Drosophila melanogaster: one gene and its partners. The protein of the gene in region 1 interacts with the protein of each later gene in a pairwise test. Each region holds a gene or a part of one and is shown in the gene's direction. Other genes may lie near its edges.

Evidence for each region.
Region 2: the proteins of Osi18 (region 1) and CG2017 interact in a two-hybrid assay, tested with the Drosophila melanogaster proteins (one large-scale study listed by BioGRID).
Region 3: the proteins of Osi18 (region 1) and CG43183 interact in a two-hybrid assay, tested with the Drosophila melanogaster proteins (one large-scale study listed by BioGRID).
Region 4: the proteins of Osi18 (region 1) and CG3708 interact in a two-hybrid assay, tested with the Drosophila melanogaster proteins (one large-scale study listed by BioGRID).

The regions. Positions count from the first base shown.
Region 1 is NT_033777.3:6,328,529-6,332,324, forward strand, and holds Osi18 (osiris 18), read left to right. Parts: upstream 1-1,719; 5' UTR 1,720-1,822; coding exon 1,823-2,264; intron 2,265-2,556; coding exon 2,557-3,035; 3' UTR 3,036-3,281; downstream 3,282-3,796.
Region 2 is NT_033777.3:5,857,567-5,864,264, reverse strand, and holds CG2017 (uncharacterized protein), read left to right. Parts: upstream 1-1,859; 5' UTR 1,860-1,987; coding exon 1,988-2,095; intron 2,096-2,362; exon of another isoform or gene 2,363-2,518; intron 2,519-2,960; exon of another isoform or gene 2,961-3,275; intron 3,276-3,860; coding exon 3,861-4,533; intron 4,534-4,744; coding exon 4,745-5,622; exon of another isoform or gene 5,623-5,680; coding exon 5,681-5,953; 3' UTR 5,954-6,182; downstream 6,183-6,698. Other genes in the region: ECSIT, read right to left, coding at 6,365-6,698.
Region 3 is NT_033778.4:8,590,338-8,593,505, forward strand, and holds CG43183 (uncharacterized protein), read left to right. Parts: upstream 1-1,857; 5' UTR 1,858-1,983; coding exon 1,984-2,107; intron 2,108-2,158; coding exon 2,159-2,247; intron 2,248-2,304; coding exon 2,305-2,437; intron 2,438-2,496; coding exon 2,497-2,567; 3' UTR 2,568-2,632; downstream 2,633-3,168. Other genes in the region: CG14752 (uncharacterized protein), read left to right, coding at 233-253, 686-747, 1,228-1,483.
Region 4 is NC_004354.4:928,298-931,678, reverse strand, and holds CG3708 (uncharacterized protein), read left to right. Parts: upstream 1-1,580; 5' UTR 1,581-1,694; coding exon 1,695-2,783; 3' UTR 2,784-2,881; downstream 2,882-3,381. Other genes in the region: CG3706 (uncharacterized protein), read left to right, coding at 1-651; MED22 (mediator complex subunit 22), read right to left, coding at 2,912-3,129, 3,194-3,295, 3,352-3,381.

The DNA.
Region 1 (3,796 bases):
TAAATACCAAAGCAGCCCAAGTACTCCCCCCTGCTCAGCCCTTATAATTTTCTTGGGCTTGTCTAAATTTGGCTCACAATACATTTCCGCTATTCGAAAAATTTTTAATAAAATCAAGTTGCACACTGCAAACACGGTTAATTAATTCAAGTAACATGAGTATTGTTTTAAAAAAAGTTTACCTGCTTTAAGTTCAAGGAAAAATATAATTGGGATGGGAAAGAAGATCATTAAAGGGCCTATTTCCTTTTATTCCTTTATACTCGGTATTCTTGTTTATAATTATACTTACAATTTGAAAATTAGGTGGCACTTTAAATATCAAATAATGACTTATTACTAAAACTAATTTAGGGTTTCTATTGGAAGAAATTAAGCCAATTGGTGTTCACCAGGATATCCTTTTAAGCTCAAATACATATAACAAAAAATTGAGAATTGGTAATTTTCATCTGCAACTACTTTAAAACTACAGCCAGGAAATTATCAATGTTCCGATTGTTTCTCCGATTTACAACATTTACCTTGATCTATTGCAATATCGAACGTTTTAGAAATATATTCACCTAGATCTGAACGTTCAAGAGCATTATTATGTGAATGGGATCTTTCTTTTTCCCATAATTTTAATAATAATAATAATAATTCATCGCGTTATTTGTTGGTACATCAAAACTGCACTGTGAGAGCACTAACATTTAGCACAAATGACTTAAATCTAGAAACTGTGCATAAAAAGGTTAGTAATATTTTTTTAATTGCTTACCGCAGTCCCATTTACGGAGTCTCATGAAACTCTCCGCAGACCATAATGTTTTTTCATTAAGATGCAATTAACTTCAAGGTTCAGTTATTTGCAAATCAATTACAGAAAATCGGTGGTTAACGGCTATTCCATTTTGTGATTTTGGTTACCGATCTATTTTCACTCTATTTAAATCTTCCATACAATTTATTTCGTAATAACGCAGAAGTCATACAGCAGTTTTGATTTAATTTTTGATGCCCTACATCACAGGAGATCCATTAAACAATTAACTTCAAACATATCTCAGCATTCATTCAATTCATTCATTCATTCAATTCTATGCAAATGTTCTTACAATTGGAAGGTAAATATTAATACATATTAAAGAACGAATCAAAGCGACTCGATTCACAATGGAGAATGAAATGAAATGGTATTTCTTCAGCTTCCGTGGTCAGCAAGTGCATTTGACTGCCCCCCGTGGGTACAAACGAGTATCCAATCTGCTGGGTGAGTGGTATTTTAATTGGGTTTCCAGGCACGCACCTCGGATTGCTGGGCACTTGATTTTACGAGCGGATCCCCGGCCGTCGATGCAGAAGAAGCCATCAAATAACTTTCAATTATGTGCGGCCCATTATGGCGCGTATTATGCGGGAAATCGTCGCAATGAGGAATTCCTACTCCTCCCACAAAGAGAACAGCGTGCCCATAAAACGTTCGCCTGACCCAATAGACTAGAGTATCGAAATAGAATCAGAGGCCAGAAGCACAGCTAGGGCCATACCTGCACAAAGGTGAAACTCAGGTGGTCAACTTGCGCTTTCCATGACTTTGACAACAAAGCGAAATGGTCGCTAAAGCTGGAGCCCAAAGCGGTGGGCAGAAAAAGAGCTCCGTGCGTACCTGGCATACGCAATTCAATTAGCAAAGTACCGTCGTATAAAAACCAAGCGGTTCCCATGCGACATTTGCATAACCCGCTGAGTGGCCAACGCGTGCGCACCACCAAACCACCTGACCACCGGACCATCGAACCAGAGTGAGAGTTGAGGACTAACCGTCGTCGAAAGGATGAAGAGCACCGCCGCTTGTCTGATAGTCGCCCTTGCGGCGCTGTCCACCGCCCACTCGGCGCCCACCGAAGGTCAGGTGGCGCCCCAGTCCGCCACGCAACTAGCCCTGGACATGTACCATGGCTGCCTTAAGGACCTCAGTGTTTCCTGCGTGCGTCCCAAGGCCCTGCAGTGGTTCAACTCTGCCCTCCGGCAGCCGGAGGTGCGCATCACCGAGCGCCTGTCGATTGTCCGTACCGCGGAGAAGGTCGAGTCCCGATCCATGAACCCGGAGGAGCGCCTCTTCGACGACATCGACAGCTATCTGGGCAGCCACTCGCTGAGGATCCAGGCTCCGGAGTACTTCCGCACCTCGGAAGCCCGCTCCCTGGTGCCCGACTTCCTCATGTCGAATCCGCTTACTCAGGGAGGATTAGTTCCCCTGGCAGCTGCTAACGAAGGTAAGAACTCAAGATCTAAGTCAGATAAAAAAGTAATGATGACGATCCAAAACGAGCTTACGTTTTTTCAAAATAACATTCAATTCGCAACACAGTGTCAGAAACAAGTGTTGATACTAATTATTGAAATGCCACTCTTGTGTTTAATAGAAATCGTTAAACTAATTTGAATATGACAAATGGCATTATCAAAAATTTCAAAAATGTTTAGGGTTTATGCAAATCAGCATACAAATATTTGGATTTTTACCACTTGTGATAAATCTAATCTGTATTTTTCCTACTTTTCCAGGACGTGGCATGATCCGCAAGGCAGTTCTGCCCTTCCTTCTGGGCCTGAAACTGAAGACCACTGTGCTGGTGCCACTGGCCTTGGGACTCATTGCCCTAAAGACCTGGAAGGCCATGACCTTGGGCCTGCTCTCATTGGTGCTGTCTGGAGCCTTGGTTATTTTCAAGATTGCCAAGCCCAAGATTGTCAACTACGAGGTGGTGCACTATCCCCATCACGTGGATCATGTGGTGCCGCATCACATTGAGCACGTGGTGCCCCACCACATCGAGCACGTGGTGCCCCACCACATCGAGCACATAGTGCCGCATCACATCGATCATCATCTGGAGCACCACATCGATCACCACGTGGATCTGCCCGTGGAGCACATCGAGCACCTGGAGCACCCATCGCCCGCCTGGGATCCTCATGCCTGGGCCCGATCCTCGCAAGAGCCGCAGGATGCCCAGGACTTGGCCTACGCGGGTCAGAAGTGAACATGGGTCTAGAGACCAAAACCCCCCTTACGAAATTCGGCCAAACTGTAACCTTATTTATTTCGTTCTAAGTTAAGTAGCTGAAACACACCGCTCTCGGCGTATTGTTTATTTATTTATTTATTGAGAAGTGTACAAAGCAAAGACCACAAAAAGAACCAAACCCCCAAGGCGTTTTAAAAAGGTACTAAGTGGGAATTAGCTCTGGTGTCCCTTTGTGTAAATATTACTGCAATAAAAACATGCAAAAACGATGTGCCTAATTGAAAACTTTTTTGGAAGTACCAACCCCTCAGCGAAGTGGCTAATTATCCCCAAAACTTTTCTAATGCGAGGAGTTTCACTTTGGGGGTCTGTTGAATTAACCCAGGAGATTCCGGCAAATGAAATGCCACAGAATAATGAGTGCAACTTCTGGCCAAAGTGCCTGATAAAAATGCCAATGAGCACTTTTAGAAAACTCTGCAGAGTAAGGGGAAGCCACAGAGGAATCCTTAATGAAATGCACACATTTTTATATGCCACGTGGAAAAAGATGCTTTGTCCTAGAAATACACTGCGAAAAGAAAGTGTTTCTTTCCTTATTATGTAGCTTTGAAACGTGTACTATGATCAAGATAAGGAATGGATTGCGTTTCCCCATCCTAACGATAGGCTGAACCTTTTCATTAAGTTTTATTATCTGTTTTGATAGAAATGGAAATCCATCTCATTTGTGGGAATGTAAGTATTTCATTTTCTTTACATACTTTCAGGGGATT
Region 2 (6,698 bases), 470 kb from region 1:
GAGTGGCTGGGAGCAGGGCTCTCCAACTCGAAACTCGTTGTTGAATCTGTTTGTCCCGGCTAAAGTGAGAAGAACACATCCCCCGGAAAACATAGCCCCTCCTGCCGCAGACGCACTATTTGAACTGCCCTCCCGCAAACGAGATCAAAGTCGGGCCGACCCGAAAAAAGGCAAAGTTATATTGGACACGTCTTGCGCCATTGCGTGCCCAGTGCTGGTCATTATTTAACTTTTAAACACGCGCCAAAAACAGCACCAGATTTGAATTTAATGGTCACAGCAGTTGCTCCCGCTCCCGCTACCGCTCCGGCTCCACTGGCATTAGCAGCGGGGCCAGCCAACAAGTGAGCAATAAAGAAAAGTTTAGAAAAATATCCCAATCCATGCTGCCGGCCGAATCACCAATCCGGAGTACCCCATCCCAAATGAATGGGTATATAGAACTGGGCACGGATTTGTGCGCACGATAGCGCAAAACGATGACAATAAATGGAAAACTTTTTAATAAGCTAATAAAATGATTTATGCGGGTCGAGCGATAAGAGGGATAAAAGGCACGGAGTTCCACTTCCAGATGGCCATTTGATGGGCCCGATTCCGGCCAATTCCGACAGACAGACACCTCATTGACGAACGCCAACCAGTTGGACCTGAGCACGCACACACACACACACATACACAACGAATGTATTCTTGAGCATTATTTATTGGATATTGAATGGGTCGGCCCAGCTCGCAGGATTGGGGCAGTTCAAGAGGGGAGCGTAGCCCCCACCCCCCCACCACCCTATCATCCCCCTTTCATTGGCAATTGTTATCAAGGCATTAGCACATCGGAAATGCTATACGACTATATCATACTCAAGACAAGGGCTAAACGACTATAAGTGTTCTAACGTTTGTCATATCAGTTGGGCGATTCAGTTCTTGACTTTCTATCGAAAAAACGTAATTGAAAAAAAGAAATGTATATGCTAAGTCATCGATAGCGATTAGTAAAATCAATGTAATGTCATAATGTTTAAATGTAAAAGTTATAGCATCCAGGTAACTGGTAGAGCAAATCGTAAACTTCCTCCAAGTTTATACATATATAGTAAAGGTCCCCGCTGTAGATAACCAAAATCGAGTGCCAGTAGTGCAATTTTAAAACGATCCCCAACAACCTGTAGCATCACGACATCCCCATGATCCATGTCGAGGTCAGCAGATACTATTTTATGAGCCTCAGAGAGGTCAACGATGTACATACATACATGCAAGCCCAAGTCCCGAAAACAGACAGACATACATACATATACACATCATTGTAACTGACTACATATGTAAAAATGCTTAAAATATTTGTGATAAAGTAATAATGTTAATGATAAGGAATAAAACGTAAATATATTAATGAGAATACATTGAGTTTGAATTAAAGCAATTCGAGTTGTATTTTCATTGCTGGGAGGCACAAGGTTTCCTAAATTCTTTTTTTAGCAATCTAAAAACGTTACCATATCTTCACTCATTTGAATGATTTTTTGATACCAATACAAAATTATTTTGTAGCAAAGCAGATGTTTTTGAGCTTGCAAGATAGCTCCATCGAGATTGGAATTAAGTTCTATGCTGGCTAATAAACTTATTTGAGTAAAATTTACCAAAACGAATTCTCAACACTAAAGTACTAAAGTAAAGTATGGAAATGTAGGACATGCAGATGACCGCCTTCGCAACCCCATTTATTGTTAAAAATACGTTACTATTTAAATTTGAAAAATGTGTGCCGTTCACAATGGACGCCCCGTCAGCCAGTGTTGGTAAGGGTGCGCAGCAACTGGATAGGTCAGTGTCCAAAAGGGACTAACGCGTGGCGAGCATAAACATCTGTTTGTCGGAGTCACAAAATGTAGGAAGTTTATGGTTTATAATAATTGATTGGATTGCTGGCGCAACTTTGGCGTCCCCGAAATTTGAAGTGTGTTGTGAGTGCTTAACCCACATGAGTGCAAAATTGCCATGGCAACGTGAATCGAACACGAACAGCAACACCCACACAGAGACCATTGAAGATCCGCGCATTGTGGCGCAGTATTGCATCAGCAACTGCGTAAGTGCAGCACATTGACTCCATTTTTGTTTTGCTGATGAAATCGCAGCGCGATTTTTGTTTCTTGTGAAATTCCGCTCTATGCTTGCCAAGCTTTTGTTTGTTGGTTGCATGAATTCGGTAAACGCGACAGTTACTTCCCGGAATTCAAACGGAAAGGAGCTTTCCGCGAAGCGTCCTCAATCAATTTCGAGATAGAGATAGAGAATAATAACGCAGCTGACGCGGTCAAAACAAAAGCGCTTGTGTAGAAAATCAAATGCGAAGCAAACGCGGCGAGGACAAGACGCGAAAAGCTGTCAAAACTACGCGCCGAAAAAGGAAAGGGTCTGGTCGATCAGAAATCCGCTACGCAACACAGATTGCGTATCTACATAAAACGTAATAATTTAATTGTGTGGGAGTTATCTCACAATTAAGAAGGTTCGTTTTTAAACTAAGTTTCCTTATTTGAACAACAATCGTAGAACTAAAGAGGTGTGTTTGAATTGTGGAAAGCCAAGCATTAATTGTTGAATAAAATTATCAAACGTCGCGGCTTCGCATCAAAATCGTGAAAAAGTTAACTTTTATAGTTCCAGTGTCGAAGGACGTAATGGCGTGTGACGTAATTAAACATTGTATATCCTGCCTTCTAATTGCAAAAATAAAGTAATTAGAATTAAAACCTATAAATTTACCATTTATCGTTAGCTTTAGTAATTAAATAGGTTCGTAATAACATCCCGCATTAAATATTTAGGTAACTTTCTTCTTGTGGAAATTCACTAAGTTAATTTTTTTAAGCTCAACCCCCACTTGCTAAACAAAAAATACGTTCCATGAAAGAACTCAAACGCCCTAGGGTAAGGTATTGCGAAAGCTTTTGAAGTATTCAGGTGCTTGTTCTTCGGTCAACAAAGCAAAACAATCGGGAGCAGGTTATAAACAAAATCGAAAGGCACCCAAAAGCGGAGAGCACAAGTACGCACACAACTACGAACTACAACTACAAAGCACAGCACTCAGAACCCAGATAGCCGAACGAACAACAAATTCGACCTGGGCAAATGAAAAGCGCAGCCAAAATCGATATTTTGTGCCAGCGTCGCGCGCAAATAGGAGCTGCTTTAGCGCTTAATATCTCGAATAAACTCGAGCGGATTGGTTTGATTAGTGAGCCAAATATAGGGATTATCTGGTAAGATGTTTGGAACTTGTCGTATTATCGACCTTCTGTTCCACCTGCCCCCGCGCGTGGGCTCGAAACAACGGCCAGAGTCGTGGCAAACATAAACAAGCATTTTCAAGGTCGCTGCAAGTCAAAGACGGCCAAAAAAACAAATGGGGAAAATTTCAGTTTTGATGGATACACATAAGCAAACGGTTCCATCAAAAAGATACATAGAAGTTGAAAAATAATTGTTTTTAAAGTGAAACAAATGACGTGGTGTCGAAATAAAATTAAAAAAACTTTAGTACAATATTAAAAGTTATTTCAACCCAATTATATTGGGTAATTCTCAGACTAAATACAGTACAGTATGAGTAAACAAATCAAATAATATTTACTTATGCATGTATCTCATTGCTATTATTTCAGCCACGGCTGTTCGAAAATCTGTATGTATGTACATAAGTATGTACATATGTACATTTTCGATGTCGCAATTGGCCCAAAAAATGTTTTCTTCTCAAGACAAAGAGTTCCTTTGTCTAAACAGAATTTTTACCATTTACCTCATCTGAATTTTGTATTTATATGATCCACGCTTCCCTTTTGCAGCAACACATTATGGAGTCCTTCCTGAGTCTCTTTGATCCCAATCAGGACGACGGCTTCGAGGAAGAGCCCGAGCTCAATGGCAACAGCAGCGGCGGCGGAAGCAGCAGCAGCGACTATGAGACGGACGCCAATGCCAACGAGTGCAGCGTAGTGAGCGGGATGCCCACCGAGCGGGGCAACCTGATCTTCGACTTCGAGCAGGGAATGCTGCCACCAGAGCCGCAGCTCGGAAATGTGGAGTACAAGCTGAAGCTGGTCAACCCGTCGAAGCAGCGATTCGAGCACCTGGTGACCCAGATGAAGTGGCGTCTGCGCGAGGGAAACGGCGAGGCCATCTACGAGATTGGAGTATCCGACGCCGGCTATCTGCAGGGACTCAGCGACAAGGACATGAATGCCTCGCTCACCACGCTCAAGCAGATGGCCCACAGCCTAGGAGCCAGTACCTCAGTGCTGCGGCGAAAGACCATCGCCGCCCGACGCGCCGTCGCCGAGGTACTGGTCCGTAAGATCCCCGACGACCAGCACAACATCGAGGTTCGGGTGGCGGTGCTCGGCGGAGCTGATGCAGGCAAATCCACTTTGCTGGGCGTGCTTACACAGGACGAGCTGGATAACGGACACGGCCGGGCGCGGCTCAATATGTTTAGGCACATGCACGAGATTCAGTCTGGTAATATGTCGTTATAAGCACTAAACACAGATATAAATTAAATTAAGATGTTTGGCATCCATTTTAAATTGTCATCAATAAGGAATATATCAGTTGTACTACATTATTCATACATCTCTCGTTTACAAACTTTTTTTTAAATTATATTTATCACTCACAAAGTCCGGTTTGTTTGCTTGAAAATTACCAATTTGCTCCTCTTTTCCTTAAGGCCGCACCTCCTGCATCTCCCACGAGACGCTTGGCTTCGATGCACTGGGTAATGTGGTCAACTACAAGTACAATGAGATGATGACGGCAGAGGAGATTAGCGACAGGTCCAGCAAGCTGGTTACCTTCATGGATCTAGCCGGACACCGACGCTACATGCGCACCACCGTGCAGGCACTGAGTGGATACTCACCCCACTACGCCATGCTGGTGGTATCGGCGGGCAGCGGTTGCAACGACACCACCGAGGAGCACTTGGCTATCGTGCGGGCACTGGACATGCCCTTCTTTGTATTGGTCACGAAGACAGATATCACATCGCCGGACGCGACGGTACAGGAGTTGTGCAACCTGCTCACCACCATTGGGTGCCGGAAGGTTCCCTTTGTGGTGACCAACACGGATGAGGCCATCTCCGCCGGGTCAAACCAGATCTCCGAGAACATTGTGCCCATCTTTTGCGTATCGAATGTGACCGGCACGGGACTCAACCTAGTCACAAAGTTTCTGTACGTCCTTTCGCCCGGAATCAGCAACGCCGAGAAGGATCGACTCGAGCAGGAGTCTTGCGAGTTCCAGGTGGACGAGATCTTCCGGGTCTCTGACGTCGGACCCGTTGTGGGCGGTCTACTTGTCCAGGGCGTGCTGACCGAGAATATGGCAATGAAGATTGGTCCGCTTCCCGATGGTAGCTTTCATCCCGTTACTGTTAATACTATCCACCGAAACAAGGCTCCTTGCCGAGTTGTCCGAGCTGGTCAGAGCGCTTCGCTGTCTTTCAGTATGGATCAGGATGTGCCCACGCTACGAAGTGGCATGGTTCTTTTGGGTGATATTGGAAATAGTCTGGATGAGCCCTACGGGACCTTCTTCTTCCAAGTGAGTTGCTAGTTTTCATTTATCGTTACCAAATAAATACATCAACTTCCCTTTGCAGGCCAAGGTGTCCGTGCTGTTCCACGCCACGGCCATCTATGTCGGCTTCCAAACCACAGTCCACATAGGCAGCATTCGCCAGACGGCCGTCATTCGGGGCATTATGGGCGGCGAGCGACTGGGCACAAACGATTGTGCTTCGGTGATGTTCGAGTTCGTCGGCCACCCGGAGTACGTGCGTCCTGGAATGCGCATCCTGTTCCGCGAGGGCACCAGCAAAGGAATCGGAGTTGTCACGCAGGTGTTTCCGGTCAACAAGACAGGCATAAAGTAGAGAAGCGGGCCAGATGGATAGTTCCAATGACATATCTATATATCTCAAACAAAGATGACATGTACATATACTTAATTAGCAATTAGAGGGAGGCGTTAAATCTTAGGCAGATCTTCTGTACACTTAGTTTCGGGTTCTGTGATTTTTCGTTTAAGCTCGGCTCACAATCGGATGTTGTGAGTAATCCTTCTCAATTAACCTTATTTCATTAAAATCCACCCCAAAATGCATACAATGTTGCTTTCAATTCGCGTCCGAGCCAAAGAGTATAAATAATTACCGAAGTATTAATTTTTTTCCTTCTAGCAGATGTACATATATATGTACATATGATCAAAACCGACTAACTTTAAGCAACATTTACCATCAATTCTATGGTATACAAAGACGAAAAAGTGCTCAACAATTTGTTTATTTCTGTCTACTGCTAATGTGCTCATCTTGACTACTGTTATCACTTGTTGCCGGGACACTGGCGCCACCTTCAATTTCCTCCGCCTTGGCTGGCACTTCGGATGTGAACCGGAAGAGGACGGGCACCTCTCCTATGGAGGGATTTCCGTTCGCTTCCAACAGGCGAATCCACGAGAGCAATGAGTCCTTTGTGGAGGTGCCTGTGGCACAGATGGCCATAATGGTTCCGTCGTCCTGTTGGTGGACAGAGCGCAGCTTTCCCAGCTGGTTGTGTCGCCTTGGTGGAGCACGACCAAAGAAGGGTACTTCGATGTGGGAGACATCGTCCTCG
Region 3 (3,168 bases), on another chromosome or scaffold:
TTGGCCGTTGAAGTTGCTGCTGCTGTTGTTGCTGCTGCTGCTGCTGCTGTTGTTGCTGCACCGACGTCACGTCTTTCTCGTGCAGCGCAGTCGGCTTGCAGCAACAACACAAAGCGCTGCTGGCGCCCGGTATAAAACGGATGAGTCGCAGCCTGTGGTTATCAGTCACCACCTGACAGTGCTCCGGTTTTAGTATCGCCTTTCGAGTGCAGCAGAGCTCAGCCCAGCCACCATGTCCGTCCTGAAAGTATTCGTAAGTGCGACAAGGATAACGTTCGAAAAAGTGTTAAGCCAAACCTCCGCGGAATGGAGCTGAAAAGGATTAAACTCATGTGGACTATCGTGAATAAAACTAACCAACTGAAACATAACAAACTCACTGAAAACTGACTTCGATAACCGAAGTATTGGAAATATACCACCAAGATCGCCTGATGGCTTAAAAAGTCTCGAATAGATATTTCAAGAAACTGCGAAAGCATTTATTTTGCAGAAATATAAATTCACCCAAAAATATTAGTTTATGTTTATCAATCGCGGACTAACATTTCATTAGATTACTTAGATTTCACCAGAATTGAACATAAATTTTGAAGTGCCAAATTAAAACTAATCACACTGATTAGTTAGCTATTTGCGTTAATCTAGCCGGACCTAACTTACTAACTTCCTTATCCCCTTTCAGATCTTCGTCGCCCTCTTCGCCGTGGCCTACTGCGCACCCAGTCCCGGCTTCTTTGGCAAACAGTGAGTATCGGCGGCGATCTGCACCTGAACTGATCCATAAATAACCCGAGCGAATCGATAAAAATACCCATTTCCCGCTTTATGCTAAGCTAACGAGCGGTCGCATGGCTTTTTAAACGCTGCGACTGCTCCGTGGGTCTATGAAATATGTGTCCGATTGCGATCGAATTGAGCAATCAAAACGCTTGTAGCACTTAGAGCCCCAGCCCCCTCCAGCAGTCTCTATATGGTGCCCACCACTGGCTACCATTGAACTTAGCCGATCTCGACTTGGCTTGGCTCGCGGCTTAGGAATTTCGCAGGCGGCGGTTGGCATTTAATTCAGCGTAATGCGCGCATAATTGTGCGAATCAATTGCCAATTGCCAATAGCCAATATGCAATAGCCATGTCTGCCAAGACGCTGGGTTCAAGCAACTGATTAGCTAACAGGCGATGGTACATGGCATTCGATCTAACCGATTTCACTTTCGATCCGCAGCGAGCACCACACCATCCACGTGCCCTACAAGGTGCACACGGTGCACCACCATCACGTTCAGAAGGTCCATGTGCCGGTGGTGAAGCACGTGCCGGTGCCCATTTACAAGGAGGTGCCCGTGCACCACGTCCACCACGAGGAGATCCCCGTGCCGGTGCACCACGTCCATCACGAGGAGATCCCGGTGCACCATGTCTTCGATGACCACCACGACCACCACGGCTGGAGCTCCCACCACGGACACGGCTGGCTGTAAGCCATCTGCCCGCTGGCCTGCTTGTCTTCAAACCCACCCACTCAGCCAGTCCCATCTGAAGCAGCCTGTAAATACTGTACAATGCTAAGTTAATGAATGTAAATAAATCACAATTCGACTGTACACAGAACAATCCTGGCGTATTTATGGCAGGATTCCCTGAAGTGGAACCTTAGTGTTTGATGGCTCACAAGTAATCTAATAAACCAAATACTTTTAATGGGAATGAAATAACGATTTTGTTATTTGAGGCTTTTTAAGTTGTTGCGATTAGGATAGATGGTTACTTTTGAAGACTCGAAACTTGCTTATCTCTATATTTATATACTATATAAGATGGTAGAATATAACCTACTTGTTAAGTAATATTTTTCAAAAGATTTTTGTTATCAGTGACAGAACTTGTACACATAAAATAAAAACCCCATATACTCAGATACTCAAATACTAATACCCTGATAGCAAATAGCCACAAATAGACACACTACCACATTTGCACCATGATATATCTACAGAGTTGCTGCTGCTGCGTGGATCTGCGAATCGGAACCATAGCAATAGGGATTTTGCACATTATAGCGGATATCCTTGGAGGCACATTTGTTGCTTTATTTGGGGAGTCGGGTAAGTGAAGCAGGATACTTGAGAGCAAGGATATGATCCTAACACCCATAGGTATTCCCGATTTGGGTCACACCCTATTCATTATCTTCGTTATGCTGCACATCCTGAGCTGCGTTTTCCTGATCATCGGCAGTATACGGGTGAGATACCAGTACAATTGATTAGTTTCAAATTATAATACTTATGATTTGATCTAGTTACGGAGCAGCTGGATGCTCTTCTACATAATAATGACTATGATCATGGCGGTAGCAATGCTCATATTGATAGTATCCGACGTCATACTCGCCGTTTGTTTCTGGGTAATGATCACGTATGCTATAATGTTCTGTAAGTAGCTAAGTGTATCTAAGATTTCACAATCCCTTAATTTTTCCCCATTGCTTCAGTTATTTGCCTTTATTCCTGGCTAGTGGCGTACTCTTTTTACGCCGCCTTAGGAGGACCTCTCTTCATCTGAATGTGATCCATTGCCAAGTAATAAATTGTACTGTGATTGTAGCAATAAAGTACTTGAATTTTTACAAATCGATCTGCATTTTAAGTGGAATAATCATCGTAGAGTACCGAAATAACTATATCTCATCTCATTTGGTTCAATCGTTTTGGATTCCAAGAATTCGAATATTCCTTTTCATGCAATAAGTTTCCCATAATCACTTCCCATTACATTTGTTTGTAAAATTACTTTCGTGAGTTGCACTTTTTTCACACACTGCCAAAAAAGAGCAAAAAAAATGGGGCAATGCTATATTGATTATAAATAAAGCAATGATTGCACGCATATTTCAGGTGAATTGGTCGGGAATGTGATAGGTTCGATTGGATCATTGCTCCATTAGTTAATCCCACTGCAAGACTGTAATTTGCAGTTGCACTTGACCTTGGGCCGGTCTCCCAAAGGCGGCAATTAAGCCGAAGTTTTGCAAGAACGACTTTCACAAAGCACTCACTTGACCAGCTCCGACTGAGGTCGACCGCCAGTCCGCGTCCGCTCCGCTCCGATCTCTCCCTTCCTACGATCTCCACGAACCCGATCCGATCCGATCCGGTCCGGTCCG
Region 4 (3,381 bases), on another chromosome or scaffold:
CTGCTGCGCAGCGTCAACCACATCGTAGAGAAGCGCACCCACTACGAACAGAACGGAGAACTGGCCGGCCAGGTCACGCTCGATGGCAAGGAGCTGGCGCTGAAAATGGTGGGCTTCCGGGACCACAGCTTCGGCACCGAGCGCTGCCTAAGCTCCATCAACCGGTACGTGTACTTTGCCCTCTTTATGGACGATGGCAGCAGCATGGTGGTGGGCAGCCTCAGTCAGCCGTCCTTCTTCCTGTCCTCCCTGAAGGTGGGCTACGTGTGCAGCCCCGAGCGGCAGTATCAGCCGCTGACCGGGAGCAACTTCGAGCTGTACTCGTACGGCGAAAAGGGAACGCCGCCGCAGCACCAGAATTTCATTGTGCGCACCGAGGAGCGGGAGTACCTCGTGCAAATCCAGGTGGAGGCCTCCGCGCTGCGCTACGTCGGCGGCGACTGGGAGTCTAAGGTGTTCAACCAGTTTGTGGCCTGCACGGTCAACGGAGTTCCCGGCCAGGGCCACGCCGAGTTCCTGTACCGCCACAAGGGCGGCAGGCCGGAGGATATATCGTCCGGGGACCCCGGCTGGTACCAGGACATCAAGCGCTTCGAGAGAAGCCTCTCGTTGCTGGAAGAGGAGGGCCAGGACGAAGACTTCATCTTCTAGGACGCCGACGAATTGTTTTTGTTTTCAGTTTAAGATAGCATGTAAAAGTATGGGGGAGACCCATCCTATCAAAATAAAGAGATTTTGTTTGAATGACATTCGAGATTCTGAAGTCATTGGCCGCGCTGATGTCATCGGTAAGTCCAAACTAATTCAGTTAACCAACAATCCAACAGCAATATCCACTGGAGGCCATCCGGTGCAGCTGCAATCTGGTGGACTCGGGTCGATGAGGAAGATTACCGAATCGCTGGTGGAGGAATTGGACCCCCCGTGAGGATTAGTCGCCCATAAATTAGCATGCGACAGACGAACGGATTAGATTGGACAGCTACTTCGGTTTTTCTCCCAATAAATAATGGCGATTCGGGCCATCGGTTTATGGCACCCAAAAGACAACGGGCCCCACTTATCGCTCCGTCGGGCCAATAAAACCCAAGACCAGGCACCAAGACTGGGCCCAAGTGCCCAGGTGTCGCAGATAAGAGGCGAGCGGCGGGGCAGATAGCTTCAATCCAACAAAATAAACCATGCTCGGGATCTGAATGGAGCATTATGCTGCCGTCCGGTTCCGACCTGCCGCAATGTCAGCTTATGGTGGGCCGATAAGTGCCGGGCATGACCCTCCCTTCAGTGTCCAGTCCACAGCCCATATCTGGGCTCATGAGCAGGTAGCTCCGATAACGCAACCGCCGACAGATATTGGCCACCGATTTGCCCGGAATTCGGCAAATCATGCACTGTTTCTGGAATTCGCCTTCATTAATTATGCACGTAACTCTGAAGTGGTATTCCTCGTAGGCGAAATTATTTGTTAGATTACGCAGTTATTGTAATCAAAAATGCGATTGCTTCTGGGCAAATCCAAGGAATCATCAGCCGAATTTTCGTTCCCAGTAGTAGGCCGGTTTCTGTGGAAATCAAGGAACAGCTTTGATCTAGCATAGTAGTTTCCAAGTGCCCAGTCGCAGAGCTGGAATATACTTGTAGATTTATATACATATATGTTGCCAAATTTCGAAGTTATTGCACCGAATTGCACAATGATTGGGATGGCTGACAGCGCGGAGGGGGTTACCCAGGAAGACAGCCACACGGAGTCGAGGGCAGACGGCATCAGCGGGTCCTTGCGCTCCCTGGGCACATATACCCAGGAGTCCACAGAGCCGGCTTTGAGTCCGGCGGACCTTCCCGCCCGCAGCCGGAAGGCCTTTCTGCGGCACATGATCGGCCAGCTGGCGGAGCCCGTGCAGAACCGCATACGGGCACTGCGGCACAATCAGCTGCAACAGGTACGCATTTCGGAGCAGTTCTTCCGGGAAGTCTACGAGCTGGAGCGACGTTTCTACGGCCAGAGCTGCGCGCTCTTCGATGCGAGGCGGGATATTTTGGAGGGTTCGGTGGAGCCACCGATCCAAACGGAGAAGACCTGGCCCGAGGACCCGCAGGATGCTCTGTACCTGGACTTCGGGAACAACGAGGAGCTGCGACAGCTGAGGCAAAAACTGGCTCCGGTTTCGCCGACTACGCTGGGTGTTCCACGCTTTTGGCTGACAGTTTTCCAGAACGTGCCCCTGCTCTCGGAGTTGGTCCAGGATCACGACGAGCCGCTTCTGGAGAGCCTAATGGATGTGCGCCTGGCTTACGACCAGGACAGCTACATGGTCATCTTTCAGTTTCGGCCCAATAGCTTCCTGCACGATTCCTCGCTGCTGCTCACGAAGCGCTACTTTCTGCAGCACTCGGCGGACCCGGAGTATCCCTTTCTGTTCGAAGGGCCCGAAATAGTTCGTTGCGAAGGCTGCCACATCCACTGGCGCGATGGCTCCAATCTCACTCTCCAAACGGTGGAAAGCAGGCGAAGGAACAGAGCACACCGAGTCACCAAGGTCATGCCTCGGGAGTCCTTCTTTCGCTTCTTTGCTCCGCCGCAGGCCTTGGACCTGTCGCTCGCGGATGAAAAGACCAAGCTGATCCTTGGCAACGATTTCGAAGTGGGCTTCCTGCTACGCACCCAAATCGTCCCGAAGGCGGTGCTCTTTTACACGGGCGACCTAGTTGACAGCCTGAGCGCGGCCTCTCCGGACAGTCGCTCCTTGTCCTCGGAGGCGGAACAGGAGCAGGTCTTGTGAGTGCGACGCGACTAGCTGTTTGCTAAACAAAATTTACAAGTGAATGTGGTAATGATTTCTTATTAAATTCTACAGTTCGGCCAAAGCCAGTTCATCACAAATAAGGTGAACCCCTTCCCCTCCTAGCGCTACTTAAAAATGCTGGTGTAGTACTCCTCCTCCAGGTCGTACAAGTCCATGGCCATTTCGTCCCTAAGTTTCATCAGCTTCTTGTCGCACTCGCTCTGTGTGTTCCTGAACAGCTGCGAATTGTTTGTGATGGCCTCGTTGACCGAGTGAAAGTCGTTGAGGATTAGGTACTGTTTTAGGTCGGCCACCAGCTTCATCAGAGACTCGCCGGCACGGACTATAAAGCGGAATGCATGAAGGAAATGGCTCGAATCTGGTTCCCAGGGAGTGGATTTACTCACCCATGTTGGCCGCGCGGACCTGCATTTCCAGGGCATCCTGTTCGCACTGCGTGGTCTTCGAAATCTGGCTGTGGCTCTCACGGCGCGCCAGCTTGAGTATTTCTGGAGGAGAACACGGTATTACAATCTATTGCTCGGAGCAACTGAGCCGCACTTACCTTCAAAATTCTCCAGCATGCTGCGAACGT